4 linked regions of the Cricetulus griseus genome follow. The protein of the gene in region 3 interacts with the protein of the main gene of each other region in a pairwise test. Links are inferred from orthologs where the notes say so. Each region holds a gene or a part of one and is shown on either strand. Other genes may lie near its edges.

Region 1 (6,279 bases), on a different chromosome or scaffold from region 3:
GGGTTCTGGCTTGGTTTCTTTCTCTGGTCGGAACCGCAGAAAGTCAATCATTCTATAGTTCCTCTTGTGGCCCCCACCAATACCATGTACTCGGATACGGCCTAGAGTCAAAAGACAGTTCAGGGATATAATTCAGGTTAGAATTGCTTTCAGTATTAACAGGCCTTGCCTAGACTAGACACTAGTATCCCTTAATATTATATAACAAACAGAAAAATGACAAAGGGATGGGAGTGTAGCTCAGTGGTAGAGTTTGCCTTGTAAGCACTGAGGCCTCAGGTTTGATCCACAGCATGTGGGCATAAGGGAGCCACGGCATCCTTGGCAAAAGGGATGGGATAACACATGACTCAATAAAAATATAATTACGAAAATTGTATGAAACAGATAAAGTCTTTTCAAATTACTGAATTCAGTAAGTTTCCTGAGAGGAATATAAATTGGGCTCACATAACTTCAGCTGTTATTTTGTTTGTTTGTTTTGTTTTTCGAGACAGGGTTTCTCTGTGGCTTTGGAGGCTGTCCTGGAACTAGCTCTTGTAGACCAGGCTGGTCTCGAACTCACAGAGATCCGCCTGCCTCTGCCTCCCAAGTGCTGGGATTAAAGTCGTGCACCACCACCGCCCGGCAACTTTAGCTGTTATTAACTGTTCTATGTGGTCTATTCTTCAGCTTCAACCCACATACTAAGAAGTACCTCACTGAGGGCTTTGTAATTGTACATCTGACATCTTACGAGCTACAGTGCACTACTACAGACATTTAGGATCCTAAGGCATTTTCCTCCTCAATGCTTCAGATCCTTTCTCCCACCTGTATGGTCTCGACCCCCAGACTTCCTCATCTTCATTGGTTTAACTGTGTACTTGGTGCAACTCTTCCAGGACACAAACTTGGCATTAAGGTCCCCGGATGTATGCACTGGGCGGTGAGAAGGCAACACCAAGGCAGAGGGCTGTTGAAGAGCATTGCTCAGTATCTAGGGATAAGAAATATTCTCAGCAGCATCTCAGACCACTGCCCCCAAACTTCCAACCAACTTTCACAAATACCAGTGCAATATGTTTATCCAAGTGTGTGTGTGTTGTTTGTCCAGGTGTGTGGTAATCGTTTGGCCCTCTCCCCTCTGAAAAATTTCTTCCTGTCATCATCTTCCAATTTGTTTCAAGTTCTTGTCAGGAAACCTTTTCTTCCCTACAGAATTCCCTTTTCCAAAGCTGGTAAATTCCACACACTCACACACCACTGTCAGTACCAATGCCTTTTGCCCTTTGCATGTTTCCTGGAATTCCCACATATGAATGGAAATGATGACTCTGCTTTTCCACCTTCCACCTGCTGTAGTCCAAGGTCTTCAGAGTAGTTTGGTTTGTTTTGGAATATCAAATATGCATTTACTAAATTCTGTCGCACTCAGCCTGAGAACTTAAGAGAAGCAAGATTGGTAATTTCTCTTTTCTGTGATGCAGCATTGCTCACTGCTATTACAAATTCTGCATTCTCCAATCTCAGCCACAAGCCATCCTTACATTACGATGGTTAAGAGCACTGGCTTTGGGGTGGTTTAGTGCATAGCAGGAGTGCATAGCATGAGCAAGGTCCCAGGTTTAATTCCCAGCACCATAACAAAAACAAAAGGAAGCTCTGAACCCAGTCTAGCCCCAAAAAGTGTATGACCTTAGACTACTGACCAGTTTTCTCATCTGCAAAATGTGCATAGTAACTTGATTGAAAGGAGTTCGTTCATTGCAGCCGTCTACTTTGCCCGTTTACAGCGGGCACCTGTTTAGCAGAGATCTGCAAAAGCACTTAAGGCCCGTATCTCCTCTGAGAGCAACATTTATAAAGAGCAGAAGATGAAGGAAGGTTTACCCAGGTCACGTGATCGTGACTAGCCTCGCCGGATCACTGACAACCCGGGCGGAACCAGTCAAGCTCCCAGGTGAGTGGATTACCTGGGCAGCGGGGAGCAGAGTCGGAACCCGGGCGGTAACGGTCGGGGATGCCAGGCTCAGAGAGCGCAGAGCACTAGTGAGCGCGTACATGCCCAAGGGGTGGTCACACTCCTCGCAACTCTGCACGCTTTACCCTTTTGCAGAGCCTGATGCTCTTGGATGACGTTTCATTCCCGGCACTGTCGCTTTCAGATGACGCAAGAGGCGGGCCCCTAACTGGAGCGCCCCCGGGATACACACTTCCTTTCCTCCCTTAAAGAGCGAGTTCTCAGCCAATTATCGGCGGGCGCTGAGGTCGCGTGACTGGAGGACAGGCCCCGCCCCTCGGAGCCGTCAAAACAATTGCCTCGAGCGGCAGCCATGATGAATTTAAAGGGGCAGTCCCCGCGAAGGCGGCGGTCGGACCAACAGCCTGCAGGTGAGTCTTGGGGAGGACCCCTGGGGCTGAGGGTTAACATGGTACCAACTCTTACACCCACACTCCGGGGACAGATGAATAAGCCACTTCCGACCAGCCTCCCAAAACTCCAGGCTGACTAAAAAACTCCGCCCCCCGCGAGTCTTCCCCGCCCCTCGGCGTCCAGACGGACAGTAGGACAGCCTGCCCCGCCCACTGCGGGATCGCCTGACTCCATGACCTCGAGCTTGTCCGCTGTCCGGTCTTGACCGGCGACTCTGCCCTCACTCCTACCTTCCTGCCCTCAGTCCCTGCCTGCGTCACTGTCCTCAACCTGGGGCCTGCCTCCGCGCAAGTTAGCAACCTTAGGCACTCGTGAATTGCAGCCCCGGCCAGGGTAGCCGGCGCCCAGCGCCTTTCCCTGGGACCCCACAGTGCTTTCAGATCTGCTATGCTTTCCTGAACCATCCATCAGGCACTTGAGAGGCACCCTAAGGTACCGGTTAGGTGATCATGACAGACAAAGCCATGAAAGGAGCCTATTGCGGGAATCCAGGTGGGAATCCTCACCAGGTCTCCCTGCTCAGCCTTTCACAGGCACACCCTTGGCCGCAGGTCTCAGATTAAATCAGTCTTTCATTCCCTTATTGGGAGAAAGTAACTCCTCAGACCTGGAATGAGGAGACCGAGTTACGGAAGAAAGGACATTAGTACTGCTCTCTGAAGAACCTGTGGGCAGAAGGAGGGAGGGTGTTTGTCCTGGGTGGGGCCCCGTGCCGGTCCTCTGGGTGGCTGTGAAGTGGTGAGAGCGAGGGGGTGGGACTGCCGGACTTCTGGACTTTGGGCAGTGCAGATCTTTCTAAATCCTTAGCTGTAGTTGAGAGTTTCTTCCGGGCTCAGGCCTGGGAGCCGCCTGAAGCCAAGGGCTCTGCTCTTTACACAGGTAAGGAGACTTCAAAGATGAGTTTTGAGGAAGTAGGAAGACATTCTGAGCCCTGGCGGGGAGGGGGGTGGCAAGCGAGGTCTGAAGGTTGGTTAGTTGCAATGGAGCTAACCAGGTTGGGAGATGCTGGGCTTAGGTGCTTTGCTGACGCAGCCTGAAGACCTTCAGCCTTCCAGATTCCCTGTAATGAGGACTTCTGTTCCCCCCTCCTCTCTCTCTTTCTCTCGCTCTCTCTCGCTGTCTCCCCTAACCCTGAGTCCTGCCCCTCTACTGGGGTGCTGTTTTCTGCACAGATCCTGTTTTTTTTTTTTTTAACCCCGTTCCTCCGGAGTGCCCTCCATGACCCTTACAATGAAATGCTTCAGATGTCCTGCTGCCTTTCCCTAACCCATGCTCTCTTTCCACCTGCTAAGCCCTAAATTCCTCTAACTCGAAGCATGCCTGTTCATTCTACAGTCGAGTTATCTCTTCTCTCTCACCTTAGTTTTATGTTTACTCTTTCTCTTTCGTCAGCTCACCTACAGGGTCTCTCATACTCTTTTCCCTTTACTTAGATCCCTGACACCCTCTAACAGTATGACTTCCATCTTTACCAGCTGAACTCTGTGGTTTCTCCCTAGCCCGGGCAAGATCCCCCTTCCAGGATGTCAGGCCTGGTGTTGGGGCAGCGGGATGAGCCCTCAGGACACCGGCTCAGCCAAGAAGAGATCCTGGGCAGTACCAGGTTGGTGAGCCAAGGGCTGGAGGCCCTACACAGTGAGCATCAGGCTGTGCTGCAGAGCCTGTCCCACACCATTGAGTGTCTGCAGCAGGGAGGCCATGAGGAAGGGCTGGTGCATGAGAAGGCCCGGCAGTTGCGACGGTCTATGGAGAACATTGAACTGGGACTGAGTGAGGCCCAGGTAAGAGTTACAGGTGATGCCAAGTGTTCCAGAGTCCATAGAGGCTCGGTTAGCTGATGCAAGCTGGGGTCTCCTTGTCCGAGGAACTTAGATTTGTTTCATTCGTTAAATATTTATGGAGTGCCTACTGTGTGTCAACTCTTCTGAGTGCCAGTGATGTATCACAGCACACAACAGTACAATTCTTAGCCATCTTGAGGCTGATATTATAGCTGGGAGAGACAGACAGATAGGACATAGATAAATAAGTGAATGATTTACTGTGCCAGAGAAATCATTGCTAAGGACACAAAGATAAAAATAAAGCAAAGAAAGAGAGGATGCAGTTTTATATAGAGTGTACATAGAAGGCCTCATTCACAAGGCAACATTTGAGCGAAGACCTGAGGATAAGGGAGCAAGCCCTGGAAGAAACAGGTCCCAAGGAGGGAGGACAAGTGCAAGGGCCTTCCACTGAGCCTGGCTGGTGTGACTTTCTCAGCATGAGTGATGAATGAGGGGAAGAAGAGGGATGGCATTGGAGATGGGAACAGGTCATGCAGAGCTGGTAGGCTGTCCTAGGGTCTTTGCTTTTCCATTGAGAGACATGGGAGCTGTGTTCTAAGGAGTGATGGAATTCAGCCTAAGATCCTGTCTTGTGGGGCAGACAGTAGAGAGACCCGTGAGAGGCTGTTGTGTAGGTGGGAACTGGTGGTGTGGCATCTGATGAAAACAATGGAACTGGTGAAAAGAAGCAGGGTTTGGGGTATCTTTTTTTATTTAAGTCATTTGCTTTGTGTATATAGGTGTTTTGTCTACATGTATGTCTGTATAATATGTATGTGCCTGGTACCTATAGAGGCCAGAAGAGGCCATTAGATCCCCTCGGGCTGGAGTTACATACATTTGTGAGCTACCATGTTGGCACTGGTAATTGAACCTAGGTCCTCTAGAAGAACAGCCACTGCTCTTAATCACTGAGCCAGCTCTCCAGTCCAGTGGTTCTCAACCCTATGGATTGAAATCTCTTTTGGGGTCAAACAACCCTTTCACAGGGGTTACATATCAGCTATGTCGAATATCAGATATTCATGTTACAATTCATAACAGTAGCAAAATTGCAGTTACGAAGTAGCAATGAAATAATTTTATGGTTGGAGTCAGCACAACATGAGGAACTGTATCAAAGGGTCACAGCATTAGGGAAGTGAGAAGCACTGCTCCAGCCCCTCTGAGGATCTTTCGATGGTAGAGCTCTTGCCAGTCACTCCTGCTTGTTGCTTCCTCTATCCCTCTCCCGACTGGCCATCTCTCCTAAGGCCATCTCTCCCCTGAATGCTCTTATGTGATGTTCCCATGTAGGTGATGCTGGCTCTGGCCAGCCACCTGAGCACAGTAGAGTCGGAAAAGCAGAAGCTGCGGGCTCAAGTGCGGCGGCTATGCCAGGAGAACCAGTGGCTTCGAGATGAGCTAGCGGGCACTCAGCAGCGCTTACAGCGTAGTGAACAGGCTGTGGCCCAGCTGGAGGAAGAAAAGAAACACCTGGAGTTCCTGAGGCAGCTGCGCCAGTATGATGAGGATGGGCACAGCATGGTGAGCACGCACAACCAGGGTTTGCTGGGACCATGAGCAGCGCAGTTGCCCATCATCCCACAGGAAACATCAATGCCTAGCGTGTACCCGCTTGGAAGAATTTTATTTTCAGGCTTGACAGCAACTCCAGATGACAGCAAGGGGGAAATAATCTTGACTTGTCAACCTTAATTAAATGTTTACTCTCCTAGGGACTGGGCGGAAGTACTTGTTCTCACAGCTAAGAGTATGTGGAGCAAGGTAAATAGTCAGGCAACTGAAACCCTGAATCCTACAGGCTTTGGTTAGGGAAAGCATAGCCGATTTTGGCAGGAGACTCCCTTACAATTTTCTCTCAAACCGAATGCAGTTCAGCCCCCACTAGCAGGTGTTTGTGTACCCTGGGCCTTACGGGTGCAGAGGAGGCGATCCATGTAAAGGCACCTGCCTTCTCAAGCTTACAGTGTCTGTGCAGAGCAGGGCTCGTACACAAGGACACAGATGTGACTGGACAGAGCAGCAAGTGTACAG
Region 2 (6,104 bases), on a different chromosome or scaffold from region 3:
CCACCCACCTGTCTCCACCTCCTCATCACTGGGATTATAACCATCTGCCATCACACCTAGCTTTTAAAATATGGATTCCGAGGTTTGCACTCGGGTCCTTGTGCTTGCAAATACACCAACTGAGGCATTTCCCCAGGTCCATGCCATACTTCTTTAATAAAAACAAACAACCAAACTTTATGGTTATGAAGAAAAAATTCAACTTTATCGATAGGAAAAGTATTGATGCTTTCAATATCAAAGTGGAATGATTGTTATGTATTTCAAAAGTTTCAATACCAGCACAGCTTTCTTCAGTCTCTATGCTAAAGTCTGAGAGCTGGGAAACCTGGGCAGCTCATCACTGGTGTAAACCTTAGAATCTGGGTCTAGAAAAGAACCTGTTTGAGACTCTGTAATTATCAAGTTCATAAGTGAGAACATTGAAATTCTTTTCTGGTCATTAGGCACCTGGACTCCTTTTGTTTGCTTGTTTTTCCAGACAGGGTCTCTCTGTGTAGCTTTGGCTGCCCTGGAACTTGCTCGCTAGACCAGACTGGCCTCAAATTCAAAGAGATCCACCTGCCTCTGCCTCCCAAGTGCTGGGATTAAAGGTGTATGCCACCACCATCTGGCTTGGACTCCTTAATTCTGAGATTAATGTTAATGAAGCAGTCTTGGCTCTCTACTATTTGCTACCACACCATCCAGCTGCTCTTGAGATAAGCAACATGTCTTACTCTCTTGATTCTCCTCCACTGAGGGCACAGCAATGATCTTTATTGCTTGGTAGGCTATCAAGAAATTCATGTTTATGATGATGAAGAAATACCTTGAGAGAAAGTGACTTCATGTGTGTTAACTTTTTATTTTAAAACACCACCACCTACCTAGTAGAAGCCATGCTCACAAATACTCTGTCTTGCCCCAGTTCCTTTCACACACTCAGCCAGCGGGAGCTAACAGGTGTGGCCACACATGTGCCTGCTTGTGCTTGGCATCATCTGAGAAAGTCTCAAAGACGTTGCTCACACAGTGTTCTAAAAATATTTTCCCATTGTCATAAATGGTTGCTTCAAATTTTTATTATTACTTATTTTGGGGGGTTAAGTGAGCGCCCCGTTACTACAGAAGGAAAATACATTACATTACAATCACTTAATGGCCCCTTAGCTCCAATTAGTGCTCTGTATGCCCACAGTATTTAGGATATACCTTTCATAACTTCACTCAGTGTGATGTATCGGGACTATCACTCTGACTTCTGCACAGGGGAAGACCACCGTACAAGACAATCTTACTATCTCAGGTTTTTTAACCCTGACCAGTGGCTTACCCTGACTAGACTCTTATCAAGAGAATTGTTCTCAGTAATTAAAAATGTGCCGGGGACAGAACCAATCCTAATCTCATAGTCAAACATTCCTGCCCTGATGAAACTAAACTTGCTTCCCAAGAAGAGGGCCTTTAATATGCACATTTCCTGTCTTAAGTTTCTTGCAGCAGTCTGTGAGTTTTGGAGGCTTGGAGTTGCAAGGTATTTTTTAAATAATAAAGTTTCTAAAAACTGTTAAAGAGATTCTCGAAGTTTGGCACATAACAGGAAACAAAACAAGATAGTCAGGAATTACGTAGAGCTTACCAGGAGCCAGGTACTCTCGGAATAATTTTGTTTGTATCAACCCATTTGCTATCCACAGCAACCTTAAGAGGCAGATACATTGTTATCATTCTGGTTTTACAGACGAGGAAATCAAAAGCACACACACTAAGTTCCTGTGATTTGTTTAAAGTCTCACAGTTCCAGAGTCTACGCTTTTTAACCACTATATCCTGGTCGTTTCAATGAGAATAAATGTTCATCTCTCCTTGAGGCCCGGGTGTAGTCCCTTACTAGAGTATCCCTAGCCCCCAGGGTCTTTCTTTCCTGGGTGCCTCTGTTCTAGTAGCCTTCTTAACCCCGCCATAGCAAAGCGTCCGTGAGCCCCTATGGCCACTAGGGGGCGCCGCGGCCACGCGCCCTGTCCCCCCCTCCCGCAGGCACCCGAGGGGGCGGAGCTTGCGCTGGGCGGGGCCCGCGGACGCCCACGGCTAGCTATCCCGGCGGGCCGCGCGCGGCGGTGTTTGAATGGCTGTGAGTGGGGCCCGGCTGGGGATCCCGGGGACGCTCCGAGCTGCCGGGCGCGGTTCGTCAGCACAGTGGCTGGGCTGAGGCGCTGCGCTACCATGAGGCGCCGGTAAGTGACGGCCGCACCGGGTTGGGATCTCCGCTGCTGCTCGCTCGTGCGCAGGCTTCTCGAGCGGCTGGCCGGGCCCACCTGCAGGCCCCGCGGCGGCGGCCTTTCCCGGGCAAGGCGGCGGGGTCGGGGCGGGGCGCGGACGGGTGGGGCCGCCGGTCTCCCGCGGACCCCCCGGGCGGGCCACGGCTGGGAGCTGGGAGCTGCAGGCCTCGGGGGTCCTGGCGGGAGAGGCGTGGACCAAACCTGCTGTCATTTCTTGGTCCTCGGGTGGAGTCGACGTCTACACCCCACAGGGAAGGACGGGGCGCGTGAGAGGATCGCTGTGCGAGGAGGACAGGTTTTCGCGAGAGCCGTCTAGGCCCGGCTGAGGCATTTCCTTATTTTCGGAGGAATTTTTGATTCCCAGACAGATCGGAATTTGTTTCTCAGGACAGAAATTTGACATAGCTGCGTAAGAATTGTTGACTGCAACTTTTAAAACTCCTCGTGCTTTCTGAAAAGTTACTCTGTAATTGTACCCAGGCGCTTAACTGGGTTTACGTACGGAGATAACAAAGAGTTGATTTGTTTTCTGGTGGCTTATAAAGTGCCTTGAAAACATCTGTATCAGTTTCTTTGCAGATACGGAGGAAAAAAGTAATTGGGAGAGGAATTAGTTCGGTAATTGTCACCAATTTCGTGCTTTAAAGCATTCTGAGACACGAGTCCTTCTAATACCTGCAACTTGTGTAAAATCATTCAAGATTATTCTTCTTTCTTTTAAATCAGCTTCTTCGAGTCAGAAGTTTATGCACGGAGGCTTTTACCTGGTCAGTAATAAACTATGATGAGCAATATTTATTTTGTTTTCTGTGTGCTGAGTTGTTTTAAGAGCGTGCTTTGGAATAGGTAGTGTTATTATCATCGTTTGCCTCCTCAGCCTCTTTCTTACTAATATACAAAGTGTTGTCTTTTTATTTACTTCAGCTTCGGAGATTCTTAAGTGAGTATACATTTGTGTACACACGAATCAATCTTCACACCAGTGACAGTATCTGCTCATATTGGCCACACTTAAGTTTTATGCCCGAGCCCCTTCCCCAAAATTGTTTTTAAGATAAATGGACGTCATAAAGTTTGTAGGTTCATTTTTTAGAGATTGTGGAGAACAGCTGGAAACATTTTTTTTAAAACTATGGTACACTATTTTGTATTTGAAATGAATGTACTTAATAACTCCATGAAAAGAAATGCAATCCCAAAGCAAACCACTTCATGAGTAGTCAACAGTTCACTATTATTTATACCCAAACCTTTAAAACCACCTTCATCGGTTACCAAGGTTTTGATTGCCTCACTGTCCAGCACAGTACTGAGTCTAGTCAGCTATATGCAAGACATGTACCAGGTAACAAATATGAAGTTAATTTGGTGTGAAATTAGTAGCAAAAACATATGTGATACTCTTCTCTGTTGGTGCAGTGGGTATCTGAGTGATAATCTGAACTCAGTAAGTACTGTAGAGCTAACAGTTGAAAAGCTTATATAAGACAGTTAGTAGAAGGAGAGGTAGGGTATTTTATCGAGGAAATTGTTCGAAGACTGGGAATCCAGAAAAAAAAAATGACTTATTGGGAACATTTAGCCTGGTCTTTTGGAAGTTCATGTTGGTTAATATTATATGAAGCAAGACTGGGGAATGTTGTAAATGAGACATGTCCATGAGCTCTCTCTCTCTCTCTCTCTCTCTCTCTCTCTCTCTCTCTCTCTCTCTCTCTCTCTCTCTCTCTCTCTCACACACACACACACACACACACACACACACACACGGATTTGGGAATTTATAAACTTTTATGTCAGTGGATCTCAACTGAGTGCATTTTTCCCCCTCCATAGGACATTTGGGGATGTGAGACTCTTGTGATACTGTCAATCTGTTGACCACAGACTCTGGAGTACTTATTAAACATCCTACAATCAGATCTCCATAAGAAACAATTACTCCAAATGTCAGTGTAGGATGCAAGTCTGATAACCTGAGTTTGATCCTGGAACCCACAATAAAAAAAACAAAACCCCACAGGCCCCCAAAAGGTAGGTAAGGAGTCACAAGGCTCTAATCCCTACCATAAGATGGGAGGCAGAGGAAAGATGGGAGACAGAATCACAGGAACCTGAGGGCCACCTAATCTGTAGTAATATTACGGCATGGTAAAAAAAACGAGAGACCCTTCCTCAACAAGGTAGAAGGAGAAAAGCAATTTTCTAATGTTACCCTTTGACCTTTGTTCATAGTCTAGCATGTGCACGCACACACAAATATTTTATGAATAATTTTAAATCAATTTTTAATGTTTAAATAAATCAGTTATAAACACTTGCCCCTCAATAAAACCACTGTTAATATTTTTTTGTTTGTTTTCTTTAGACAGGTTTTCTGTGTATAGTCCTGGCTGTCAGCCTGTAACTAGCTCAGTAAACCAGGCTGGCCTTGAATTAAAAAGATCCACCTGCCTCTGCCTCTCGAGTGCTGGGATTAATCTTGGTTGGTCATGAAGCAGAGAGTTTAAAGGGCTAATTTTGAGTTTTTGTGTCTTAAAACCTAACTTTTTTGGATTTTTGAGGCAGGGTTTCTCTGTAATGGCTCTGGTTATCCTGGAACTCTGTAGACTAGACTGGCCTCAAACTCACAAAGATCTTCCTGCCTCTGCCTCGCAAGTGCAACTCCCACCTGCACTTCTCACTGAGGGAATGGGAAATTATCTTTAAAAATATGTGGCTCATACAGAATGTCATAAAATACACCAATCAGTATTGGTGTTTTATCAGTCATGTTACTTGATTGCTGTTGTGTAAATGAACCCTTCAAAACTAATTTGTCATTGTAACTGTTAGTTCTTTGGTAACTGTGATAAATACCTGAAAAACAATTTCAGAGGTTTTAACTCAGTGTTGACTGAATTCATAGCTTGGGCCTGAGGCAAGGCAAAATATTGTGACAGTGAGTGGGGGAAGACAGACAAACAACATATACAGAGACAAAGACAGGAAGGGCCTGGAGACAAGATGTAGTGCAAGATGATAGGCATCCTGGTGGGCAACTGCTTCCCCCAGCTTTAACCCACCACCTAAAGTTTTCAACACCTTCCAAAATAGCACAACCAGCTGGGCTCAAGGCTTCAATACATGACTATAGGTAACATTGACAGTGTTAAGTGTTGTTGTCTAGTGGGAGATATTGAGGTCATAAGCTCCATGCCCATGAATAGGTTAATGCCATGGCTTCTGTAATTCTGGAGTTCCAGTTGTGCTCTGTCCTCTTCTACTTGCCTTTTCCACTTTCTCACTCATACCCCACACTTGTGTTGCCCTCCACCATGTTATTGTAGGAAGAGGGCCCTCACTAGATGTGGCCTTTGAATCTTGGATTTCCCAGTCTAGAAAACCATTAAAAACCTCCTTTCTTGTTTCTGTTTGTTTTATTATTTGTGTTTCAGCATCCCAGCTGTGTATGTGGAGGGCAGAGATCAGCCTTGGATGTTCCTGAGAAGCTATCTGCCCTTGTTTTTTGAAAACACTGAGACCTGGGGCTTTCCAATTCCTGTCAAGCCCCTGAGAGCCACCTCTTTAGCACTATTCCAGTTGGTGTTGGGTATCAAACTCAGGTCTTCGTGCTTGTATGGCAAACACTACCAACAGAGCTATCTATGGCCACATTTTCAGGAAAGCAGATTTTAAAGGCATACCTTAAAGTAGGAGCATACTGTGGTGATTGGATAGGCTCTAATTTGAATTTCCCTCAGCAGGTTCAAATGCTGCGCTTACTATGTTTTGTTCCTTCTGAGTATTTTCTTTGGAAATGTTTTTGTTAACTCTGTTATCCTTGCCTTTGGGTCATTTTTGAGT
Region 3 (5,495 bases):
GCCACACCTCCTAATCCTTCTCAAAAAGTTCCATTAACTGGGGACCATACATTCAAGCATTGCAGTCTATGGGGTCTATTTTTATTCAAAGCACTACACTGAGGATGGGTACTTCGTATCACGTGGTACACAATATCAGGCATTGAGAGACCAACAATGGCACTGTGTGCTAGGTGACCTGTCCCTCAGTTAGTGTACCATTTCAGCTCTTGCATATATATGAACAGAAGGACCACATTTTACTTAGGAGAAAAGCATAGCAGAAAATGAGGTGTTTAAAATTAGGGTCAGTGCATCACTGAATAAACATCCAGCCAGCAGGATTTCATTGGACAGTATCATGGCTGCTTACTAGCTGGAGAGGTTTATTCCTCACGAGAACTATTTAAAAAGACATTTAGTAATGACTTATTTATTATGCATGCTGAACTGGGTTGCTCAAAATATACTACTTTGGTAAATTGTCACATTTGTGAACATATGTATGAATAATATTTCACTATGTATTGCCCAGAGCCAACTGTACACTCTCAAAGGTTTTGTTGTTGTTTTTATTGTTTTGTTTTTGAGTTAGGTTCTCTTTATTTTGTAGATCTTGCTGTTCTTGAACTCAATGCATAGACTAGGCTGGCCTCCCAAGTGCTGGGATTAAAAGTGTGTACTGCCATGCCTGGATAGTTTTTAATCCTATGAGTTTAATTGTGAAGAAGCAGACAATGCACACAGATCCTTGGTTGTTCTGTGTCAGCTGTTCTCTCTTCTTGAGAAAGCCAACTAAATTAAACCCAAAACTAAGGTGGGGGGAGGTAATTTATAGTGAAAACATTAAAGAACTAAGTGGACCCCAGCCTGAATTTTCAGAAGCAATATGCACTATTTTCTTAAATACAGATTGGAAGAGCCCTGCCCTAGGTTGTCAAATTCTTTAGCCCCTTTGTTTTGTTCTGTGTTGATGTCTGGTTTTGCCACTCCATCAAGGTCACAGAGATGGTGAAGGTGCATCACTTGAGGGCTGTGGCTCACACTTAGAGAGGCTGGCTGAGGGAAAGGACTGAAGTGGACATCACAAAACATTGATAGCCTGTTCCCTGCTCCCTGTGTCTAGGAGTCGGAGGAGCCTTAGAAAATGACGATCCGTCCAAGATGGTGATGGTTCTGGCTGCCACTAACTTCCCGTGGGACATTGATGAAGCTCTTCGAAGGAGACTAGAAAAAAGGATCTACATCCCTCTACCGACAGGTATGATGCTTCCTTTTACTGGATCTGGAACTTTCTGTCATTTCCTGTTAACCCTTTTCTATTTATTTAAATCTCTGTCTCACTGTCACTTTGTTTGAAGAGCTCTGTGGCATTAGGGGGACGATCTGAGTGACAGAAACAAAGCCCTTGTGAAGTCCTTTGCATTTCAGAGAAACCCTTAGTCTTAGAGCAGTACTTGTGCTGGTAAGTTTGGTAGCACTCCAGTTCTTACTTCTAAAATTGGATTCCATTAACCCTAATTTAAATATTAAAAAAGTTGTCTTGGGGACTTTCAAAAGTGATTTTCTCTTGAATGTTGAAGTTTCCTATTTCTTATTTTTATCTTTTCCTTTGAGATAAATATATATGTCGTTGAGAAGTGTATATCTCAAGTGTGTTATGATTGGTTCTCTGAAATGTGTCATCATGTTCAATCAGTGTAGTATCCTAGAAAGGATGTCCCAGCAGTTCATCTAAATGGCTATTGCATAAGCGATTTGCCTGGTCCTCCATCACCACAGGCCAGTTTTCTCTCTTGCGAAGCATTGTGTAAACAGTATGGTGACAGCATACAGTCAGTGTCTAGTGACTCTCGTCCTGCAGAAGTCTTTGAGATTTGCATGTATGAGTGTGCTTATCAGTGATTTCTTGTCCATGTGACGATGCTGCTGTGTGTTGAGTCCCCTCTGATGGGCACAGGAATTGCTTCTAGTTTTTGGCTATTATGAGTAGAGCTTTAAGCCTTATACATATTTTTGTGGATGACTGTTTTAGGTCTTTGGGTAGTATGAATGGGATATGTTAGTCAGTCAGGGGAGCTGTGTGTTTAACTTTATAAGACTGATGCTTTGCTCACTTCTAACAAGGCAGCTGTACTTAACTTTATAAGGAATACTCAAACTGTCTTCCTGAGTGGTTGTACATGTTGTATTGTCACTGTCACCATCAATAAATGGGAAGGGCAGTCTGCAACCTTGCCTATAGCTGCTGTTGGCAGTGTTTCCGTTTTATTTGCTCTTGTTGATGTGAAATGGCATCTCATTGTGGTTAATCTGGTTCCTCTGATGACTTATATCTTGACCACCTTTTTGTGAACTTATGTACTGTGTCCCTCATTTTATAACAGTTAATGTTTTATTAATGCTTTATATAAATTCTCTTTACTTACATTTTTATAATTTTTTTCCTTCCAATTTGTGGTTTAGTTTTCAATTTTCTTAATGTTCTTTCTTGGTAGCCAGAGTATTTTAATTTGTGAAGACCTTTTTTTAAAGGTTTTTTTGTTTTGTTTTTTATTAATAGGGCTTCCTGTATCTTAGAAAATATCTGCTTACCCCTAGGCTGTAAAGCTTTCTTCTGTTTACTTTTAGAAGCTATATTTAGCCCTGTGATTCTCTTGAATTGTGGGGTGGGCTTTTATTTTTTCCATGAGTATATTCAGTTCTAGTACCATTTGCTGAGAGGACTTTTCTCAATTTAATAAAAATCTTAGAAACTGGCATCTTGCAGAGTATATTCCGGATAGTAATGGGATTGAATTAGGAACTAGCAATAAGGTATTTAGATTATCCCCAATATTTTACTACTAAACAAGTTAGCTCTGAATAACAGAAGGGTCAAAGAAAATTGGAAAAATTGAAAATAGTGTTTTGGTAGGAAAAATATGTCACCCTAAATATTGTGATATGAAGCCAACATAGTGTTTTAAGGTCTGTAAATGCATACCTTGAAAAAGGCTTGAGTAGATACTATGTTAGACTTTGAAACAGAAATTAGTTTAAATGTGTAGAGGAAATAAATTAGAAAAATGTGAGATATGAAATAGAATATTAACAAGGCAAACATTTGTTCATTATGTTAATATTGACAAATCTCTAGAGAAATAATGAAGAACAACAGAGATAAATTGCCAGTATTAGGAATGAAGGAGTCACCACAACAGCTCTTATAGACAGAAGGAAAATGAAGCAACTAAGTGAAAGTAAAATCTCCCTAAGTGTTCTTCATTGTGTAACACCTCTGGATCAGTGTAACCATGGGAGTCAGTGTGCGTAAAATAGTCACAGATGTTAACATTTGCACCTAAGAAAGAAGAAAGGCCTCAACTAGGTCCTCTGTTTCTGCTTTCAGAAAAGGAGAAAGTGAAACTCAAAAGAGTAAACCCTCCCTGCAAAACAGTCTTGTGAGCTGGAAATCAGTGCCCCGGACAGTTTTCCTGGATGCCGGACACAGACACATGCTCCACTCTTCTCTTTCCTCCCAGGGGACACTATGTCCAGCCCTGTGGAGCTGTGCAAGCTTTTATTCAAGGTGCCATAGGTTCTGGGGCTGCAGCAGCTGCCGAGTTCTGTTCCTGGTGGCTCTCAGGCCAAGGGGTACCGATTCTTCTTCCTTTATGCTTGAAGCCTGAGCCAGCGGAGTCAAGTCCTTTGGCAGTGCTATGGAAGCTGGAATGTGGGGCACATGCCTCCCTCTTCTCATTCCCTCCCAAGGGAAGCTCCAAGCTGGCCTTTTCCTCCTTAACCTAGGAGCCGTTAGCTAGGGGGAAGAACTAACTGCAGAGCCAGGCGGCTTTTCTCACCCATTTCCACAAAGTTCACGCTGTGGCTTGCTAGATGGTTCTGAGCTTTGGTGAGGTTAAGACATTGTCTCCCCAGATCAGGAGGAAGAGCATCTAGGGCCTCTTATTCCCTGTGCTGCTGGGCTACTCTGAGCCTGTTCTTATGTGATGTCAGTTGTCATTCATGTCATTGTCCCCTTGTATGTTGAGGGGTATCTTTTCCTCCCTGGTTAATTCTTTGTTTTAAAAATCAGTTTTACTGAGGAATGACTTAGACACAATAAACTTTATTCACATCAGATGCTGAGCTATGGCAGCTGTGTACCACCATGAGACCATATACCAAGAAGCAAGTCCACCCTTTCTTCCTAAAGAGGCTTCTGGAGCCCTTCCCAGTCTGCCTTCCTTCTCCCACCTGGGCTGATATTTCATTGTTTGTTTCATTGTGTGGACATATCACAGACTTTCTCCATTCCCAGTGGTTGATATTAGACCATTCCTAGTTTAAGGCCATTGTGAATGAGGCTGCTATGAGCATTGATGGTTGGTTGGTTGTGTGGCAGATGCTCTAGTTTCTCCTGCATCAATGCTGAGAAGTGACATTGGTGATACATGTTTGGCTATAGCAACAGGCTGGTCACTGACTTGCTTGTTGTTTTTAAGATGGTGCACTTTGTATTTTAGTAGTTGGCTGTAATGTGGGGTTTCCTTTTTTCTTTGTTCTGCATGTGTGTTGGACATCTTGGTCCTACTGCAACCATCACTGGGGTGCTATTTGTTTCTTCTAACCCTTTTCCTGATAGGCTCCTTCTACATTTGTTTACCGAGCATTTCCTCTGCAGTCTCTTTTCCTGTGAATTTTCATTTTAGGTCTGCTTTGCAAATCTTTCATTTCCAGTTTTTAAATAGTTTCTGTTATTTTGCTGGGATTCTTCATCATTGTCTCATTCACTTTTGTCTCTTCCTTCCCTTTATTTCTCAGAATTCTTCCCGACATTGGTTGGGTGGTAATAGAGTGTGGCAGAAACGATGCTAAGGTCTAAACCTAGGTCAGAAAAAGAATATTTTCTGCCTTATTTTGTCCCTTGAGGGCCAGCAGCCATGACATGAGTTCCTCTGGCAACCATGGGGAAGCCCACATGGGAACTGAAGACTTATACTAATAGCCACCATCTTGCCAGTCATGGGAATGAGTTGCTTCTAGATTGACTGGTCTAGGACTGTAGTACAATCTAATGAGATCCCTTCTGTCCTAGTTAGCTTTAACTTTCAACTTGACACAGTCTAGAGTCACCTGAGAAAGGAGTCTTAATGGGTTGCCTACATCAGATTGGCCAGTGAGCATGTCCATGGGGAATTGTCTTGATTATTAGTTGATGTAGGGGGGCCCAGTCTACTGTGGGTAGTCCCATCCTTATGCAGTTGGACCTGGGCAATATAAAAAAGCTAGCCAAGTGTGAGTCTGTGAGCCATCAAGAAGCATCCTTCCATGTTTCTGTTGTATGTCCTTGGCTGTGAGTTTGCTGGTTGAACATAATACTTCGTGGAGTAAGTAAGAGGTCCTGCCTTCAGGTTCCTACTTGAGTTCCTGCTCTGACTTTCTGCAGTGATGGACTGTGACCTGGAAGTGTGAGCCAAATAAGCCTGTTCTTCTGATAAGTTACTTTTAGTTGGAATATTTTATCACAGCAAAAG
Region 4 (6,177 bases), about 33 Mb from region 3:
CAACAGTTTCATGTAGTTTTAAGTAAAAGATCAAAAAAATCATAAATCAAAATACTCCCCAAATATAGTGGTAAAAACATTAGGTAGACAGTCACAAGAAGGTGAGGAAATCTCAGCCATAGTCACTCTCAGATAGTAGTCTTAGCCTTTAGGTTGGTGGGAACTAGAGGGTCTGTTTGTATATTCCAAAGGATTTACCTAATGCTCACAAAGATATGAGGTCATGTACCGAAGGGGCAATAAAAGCCAACTAAGGGGGCTAACTAAAGCTGCTCCAAGACAACTTGACTGTAGACTAATATTCCACCCTCCCTACATCATTGAAGTTCTAATCAATTGATCAGCCTTGCAGGAAGTTCAGAGTGAGGTGGGATTCATTTCAGGAACTTTCCTTCACAAAGGGAAAAATGGGATGAAAAAAAAAAACATCAGTTACAAAAAGTTTTAGTTTTTCTTTTTTCCCTCTTTTGGCCTACAATTTGTATCAAACTCAATCCTCGTAATTCCCTAAATTTTTCAGTTCTCTCTTTTTCTTTCTTGCTCATTTAATATACTTACAAGATGCAGTAGCACAAGAAAATACAGGTTAGCGGTTCTAAAATAAAAGTTACTTTGCATTTAGATACATTGCATGAGATAGTAAATGCCACACCAGGAGAGGTAGAACCTCGGGAGCTACTTAACTCTGAACAAATGACATCCATCCCAGAACTTCAGTTTGTTATGAAGATTAAATGACTCACAAACTCAGCACTACATGGAAGCTACTGTGCTGGAGATTATACTGTTCCTACTCAGATTTAAGAAATGTCAGGAAAACATATTTTTAATTTTATTAATTGGCATAGTGACAAATATATGATTGGACAATTTATACTAAAACCATTTGGGAACTGAAGATACATAACTCAGTTGATAGAGCCTAGCATTCGGGAAGCCCTTCTAATCCAGGCCTGGATGGCTCACACTTAATGATCAGTTCAGGGTCATCGAGCTTAGGGTAGAGACCCTGTCTAAAATATTTGTATTTTTAAAAATAACAACCCTCCCTCCCATTAGCTCAAAGCTAGTGTAAGGAAGTCACACAAGCATGTGCCCAGTCCCATCTTAGTGAACTTCTATAGAGTTAGAATGGCCGGTTTGAAGCAATGGAGGGTTTTACACTTTCAGAATCAGTTACCTTTTTATTCACTTATCCAACACACACACACACACACACACACACACACACACACACACACACACAGAGAGAGAGAGAGAGAGAGAGAGAGAGAGAGAGAGAGAGAGAGAGAGACAGAGCATGACAGTTGAAACTAGACAAAAAATAAAACCCTTCAGCTCTTCTTTCATAACAACTATTTCATGGGGTGTTAGCTGAAGATTTAGCGTATATGCCTGAGAGGAATAGGAGGTAGGAGACCTTTGCCCCCAACATCTATAGATTGAACAACGTGAAGGGGGAGGGGAATGAAGGCGATCATGAGATGCCCCAGGATCTGGTACTCAAAGGAACTGGCTTTCACTAATGGTCTCTCTTATGGCTCTCAGAGAAGTCATTTTGTTTTCTTCGGCTCTCATTTCAATATCCATGCTAGGGTTTTAGCTCTCAGCTGTTTCCCTACCCTCCACCTTTGCAAGACCTGCCCAAATACACTTTAACACTCTGGGTGAAATGAGCAAGTCAAATCCGAAGGAGAAGTCGATGATGCCTCAACTCTATGTGAAGCAACAGAGGAAAGCTGGGAATGGAAAGGAGGCCTTCCCCAGGGAAGAGCACACAAAATTGGTTGTTTAGTGACGAAAGGTCAATCCTGAAAACATGCATACAGGTACTGAACTGAATATGTTATATTTAGGAATATATATGTACAATAACAGTTTTAAAAAAAAAGAGGCCAGGAATTTGAAGGACAGCGGGGAAGGGGTATGCATATGTGTTTGTAGGGAGGAAAGGGAAAGGGAAAAATGTTGCAATTAAATTAACAGTCTCCAAAATAGAAAACATTCTGGCGACCTTTTCACCTTTGCGCCTGCGCCCGAAGCCACGCCCTGAGGTCAATTCCCTCCTCCCGCTTATTTTGCACACGCGCATCTGAGGCTCTCTGCGGTTCTGAGAGGCGGGACTTCCTGCCCTCTTTAGCGTGACTGCGGAAGTGGATGCAGACAACTCAGGTTGGCCACTGCTTGGGATCTTTGGGCGTGTGCGCTCGCCGCTGCTTTCGGCTGGAAAGATGCCGGGTCTGGCCGCCGCCAGCCCTGCCCCGCCTGAGGCTCAGGAGAAGAAGCCGCTGAAGCCGTGCTGCGCCTGCCCGGAGACCAAGAAGGCGCGCGATGCGTGGTCAGTGCGCAGCCGGGGAGGGACGGCCGGGCTTCCGTAGGCTCAGCTCAGCTCCGCTCCGCTCTGCTCTCCGGCACTCCGGAGTGACCGGAACCCATAGCTTCGCAGCCGCCTCTGTTCCCTGAACGCGCACCTCCGTCTGTTAGGGTAACGGGAGAGGGCAAGAGGTCAGGTTGGCCCCAAGGTTCTCCTTTATTCCTTGCTACCATGCCCTTGACCCTTCCTGGGTATTAGGTCCGGATGTATAGAAGTGCGTATGCTTTGGCTTAAAGGAACAGCCATCATTATACCACTTAGCAAGGCCAAAGTGTAAAACAGTCAGGTAATTTCTAAGAATTTTTCCAAAACGTGCGCGTGTAGTAGGACACAGGATACATTTTTGTATGGCTCCCCTTTCCACTTTTAACGGGCCGAAGGTTAAAAGGCAGCCTGTCTGGGGCTGGAGAGATGGCTGTGTGTTTTAAGAGAACTGGTTACCCATCTAGAGGACCTGGCTTCGATTCCCAACACCCACCTGGTCGCTAACAAGACTCTTTAGCTCCAGTCCCCGAGGAGTCCGACGCCTTCTTCTGGCTTTTACGAGCACTGCATATTCATGGTGTACCAAAAAAACGTGTAGGCCAAACAACCATACACATAAAAACATACATTTTAAAACCTGTCTACAATATAGGTACATTAATGTTTACCTTACCAAGTCACGAAAGGTTTTGTTTGATCTCACTTTTATGATGTCGCAGATTCTGGCGAAGATCTCATTAGGAGTCCTCCGTTAATGTGACTATATGTCTCCATCTGTCCCATCAAAGTAGAAAAGTGATAGTAGAAACAGATACGGTGCTCATGCCTGTAATCTCATTACTGGGGGGACTGTAGCAGGAGGATTGCCACTGCTTAAGTCTAGCCTGAGCAACAGTGAGACCAAGTCTTAAAAAAAAAAAAAAAGCCATACACAAAAGAGAAATTATTTGGCTATGTAGTAAGATAGTAAGAGTGTACCTTAGTACACTCTATTATCATCACTACTTTGCAAGCCATACTGTAAGTGGAGAATTTAAAGATCTGTCTGATACTGAGGGTCCTGCAATAGTAATACCTGCTTATGGAAACTTTAGGAAATGTGATGTCAAGATTAGGAGCTTAGAAATACAGACAGACCTTGAAGACCGATCCTCTGACTTGGTGACTTTGTACAAGGTACTTAACACATGTCTGCTACCCATGTGTGTTGAATGAGTCCAGCATTTCTGTAAGGTTGTCCATCCCACCCAGTCTCTCATTGGCTGGTAAGGATTTTAATAGTAGACTCCCATTTCCCAACTCCTTTGAGACAGGATCTTGACATGTAGCCCAAGCTGGCCTCTTATGCAGGATTTTTTCAGCCCTAGCTTTCCAGATGTGATTTTAGGCGTTGAGTCAGTACATTCTAGCTCTTACAGTTACTTGGTAGATTTTATCAGTAAAATGTCCCTTAATCTTTCAACGAAGGATTCATCTTGTGGCTTGTAGCTACCAGATCTTTTTTGATGTTTATGTTGTTGGGTGTTTAATGATTAAAAGTAGGTTTAAGTGTGTTTGAATGTAAGGAGAAACAGGAAGTTAGTTTCTGTACAATAATGGGCCCACAAGTTAACCTCGTCCCTTCATTTAATATAAATATTTTACTCAGTTTATTTCACTCTAAAGAAATGTTTATTATTCCTTGAGTATAGACTAAAGATACCATTTGCTATGCATAATTGTTTCACCTAGTTAGAACCTTCCCCAAACAACAACAAAAACAAACCTCAGAACCTTATTTCTGTGGAACCATCATAAGAACAAATACAGGGAGCAAAGGAGCCAAGCTGTTTGGTATAGTAGAGTTTTGTTTCTGACTTCAGCCACATTCTGTGTACTTCACTGACTCACTGGCCTGCGCTGTCATATTCCCCACCAATGTGCTTAATGTCAGTTTATTAGGTAACCAATGCACTTTATTTTACAGCATCATTGAGAAAGGAGAAGAACACTGTGGACATCTCATTGAGGCCCACAAGGAGTGCATGAGAGCTCTGGGGTTTAAGATATGACGTGGTGAGTTAACCGCATTGCTTCAAGTCTGTGTATTACTCTACAGAGTTAGCTGCCAGGCAGCATTCTTCCGAGAAGGTAGCGCCCCCCCCCCCCATTAATCTAGCGTGTTTCAATAGCACTTAAAGGTAGCTTTTCTGTTCCTAGTATGGGGTGGTGAATGATGGCAACAGTTTGAGAGCAACCAGGAAGTCTGAGACACGAGTGTTAAGCTTTTGAGAACTGGTTTGACAACAGCCTTTGGAGTTACATCACAGTCTGCATTAAGGTCTTGTTAGTGAGGCTTTTCCCTCCCATGCCCCATGTGAAGTAGGAGCATGTTTCCCTGCCACTGTTCCAGCCATATCTTCCTACGGTGGTAGAGGCGTCCTGTAGCTACATTCTCCAATGGTAAACGCTAGCAGTTAAATTGGGCCTAATGAGGTCGGGGAACTGAGTTCTCAATTTAGAAAAAGGTTAACAGTTGTAGGTGGCTAGCAGCTACTCTTGTCTTTATGGTCACCACCTGTACTCTGAGCATCTTCTTACAATGATCACCCTGCTTCCCTCCAGCTAGGATGTATGCTCTGGGAAGCGTCCGGTTTCACTCCCAGCCTGTCCCCGAGCACTTAGAACACTGCCTGGCGCATAGCAGGTGCTGGATAGGGTACTGTTCATTAAGTGAATGTGTGAATGAATAGGGAATTAGTGGTGGTTCAGTGTAGCAGGATTCCTGAGGTGGGCTTAGCAGGATCAGAAGGAGGGAACCTCCACCTCCAGGCAAACATTCTATTTGTGCCTCTCTCAGGTCACACCTCACTGCCACTCCTAATTTAGCAACATCAGAAAGATAGCAAAGCCACATGCCAGCTTGATAATAGTGGAGAGCTGGTTTCTTTCTCTTTCACCTCTCTTTGGAATGTCACACATGACTCCTCATGGTCTTTGAAGTATAGAAAGGAGATGAGTGCCACTTACCCATAAGAAGTGTAACAGGAGAAGAAGAGTGTTTAAACACACAGGCCCCAACACCTGTATGTACATGGCCTTTTTGTTCTAGCTCTTTCTCCACTGTTAGGTTAAGCTTTGCCTAGAGCATCATGGGGGAATTTTGGAGCCACAGTGAAGGGCAGTGGTGGGATTACATTCTCTGAACAGAGGCACTGTGTGTTTTCCTCCTAACACTTTGTGAGCTCTTACGGCCAGCATGCCCAGTTTTGGGATCGTACATTACCTTAATCTTCAATACTAAGACTTATAATGAATGCTAATGAAAAAGAGCTCTTGCTGGAATGCATGGGAGCATATACCTTAGAGCCAAGCCCCTGGCTGTAGTAAACTCCAGCACAACTACCCGCCCTGCTCTGAGATGAGCTTGATCAAATTGGTGTGTCTCTTAGACTGATAGACCATATTTTCTGAGAACCTCTTCAGAGGAAAAATACTTTACAAACTGGGTTGTTCCAGCAGTGATCACAAAAGTTCCTTGATTCAAAACCTAAATAGGTGTTAATCAGGGCTGGCTCTTTCACAGCCAGCCCCTTCTGATTTGTGTAGCCAGTACCATGAAGTCAGGGTGTGGCAGGCTGTTGAAATGGTACACAACTCCATTTCTGGTTCCTTTTCCTGCTCACACCTTTGCTTAAGAACAATAGTTCTTCCTTCAAGCATTTTAGGAAAAAGGGAATTTAGGTGTCTGTCTGTCCTTTCTAAATCAAACAAAGGGAACAGGTTTAGAAGTTCTTGCGTTAGAGTTGACTGCCCGAGTAACCATCTTTTCAATGGTA

Evidence for each region.
Region 1: the proteins of Katnal1 (region 3) and Klc4 interact in binary tests that used the Homo sapiens proteins (3 or more experiments, as listed by UniProt). The two-hybrid records come from large-scale screens. The link is inferred for Cricetulus griseus from reciprocal best matches to the Homo sapiens genes KATNAL1 and KLC4.
Region 2: the proteins of Katnal1 (region 3) and Katnbl1 interact in binary tests that used the Homo sapiens proteins (3 or more experiments, as listed by UniProt). The two-hybrid records come from large-scale screens. The link is inferred for Cricetulus griseus from reciprocal best matches to the Homo sapiens genes KATNAL1 and KATNBL1.
Region 4: the proteins of Katnal1 (region 3) and cytochrome c oxidase copper chaperone interact in binary tests that used the Homo sapiens proteins (3 or more experiments, as listed by UniProt). The two-hybrid records come from large-scale screens. The link is inferred for Cricetulus griseus from reciprocal best matches to the Homo sapiens genes KATNAL1 and COX17.

What each region holds. Positions count from the first base shown.
Region 1 is NW_023276806.1:256,060,739-256,067,017, reverse strand, and holds the start of Klc4 (kinesin light chain 4), read left to right. Parts: upstream 1-2,240; 5' UTR 2,241-2,373; intron 2,374-2,549; exon of another isoform or gene 2,550-3,295; intron 3,296-3,915; 5' UTR 3,916-3,939; coding exon 3,940-4,197; intron 4,198-5,538; coding exon 5,539-5,769; intron 5,770-6,279. Other genes in the region: Mrpl2 (39S ribosomal protein L2, mitochondrial), read right to left, coding at 1-101, 814-979, 1,956-2,045.
Region 2 is NC_048599.1:65,976,955-65,983,058, reverse strand, and holds the start of Katnbl1 (KATNB1-like protein 1), read left to right. Parts: upstream 1-2,065; 5' UTR 2,066-2,216; intron 2,217-6,104.
Region 3 is NC_048597.1:84,712,435-84,717,929, reverse strand, and holds part of Katnal1 (katanin p60 ATPase-containing subunit A-like 1), read left to right. Parts: intron 1-1,105; coding exon 1,106-1,240; intron 1,241-5,495. UniProt on the Homo sapiens protein: Regulates microtubule dynamics in Sertoli cells, a process that is essential for spermiogenesis and male fertility. Severs microtubules in an ATP-dependent manner, promoting rapid reorganization of cellular microtubule arrays.
Region 4 is NC_048597.1:51,782,889-51,789,065, reverse strand, and holds the start of cytochrome c oxidase copper chaperone, read left to right. Parts: upstream 1-2,138; 5' UTR 2,139-2,231; coding exon 2,232-2,338; intron 2,339-4,325; coding exon 4,326-4,410; 3' UTR 4,411-4,414; intron 4,415-6,177.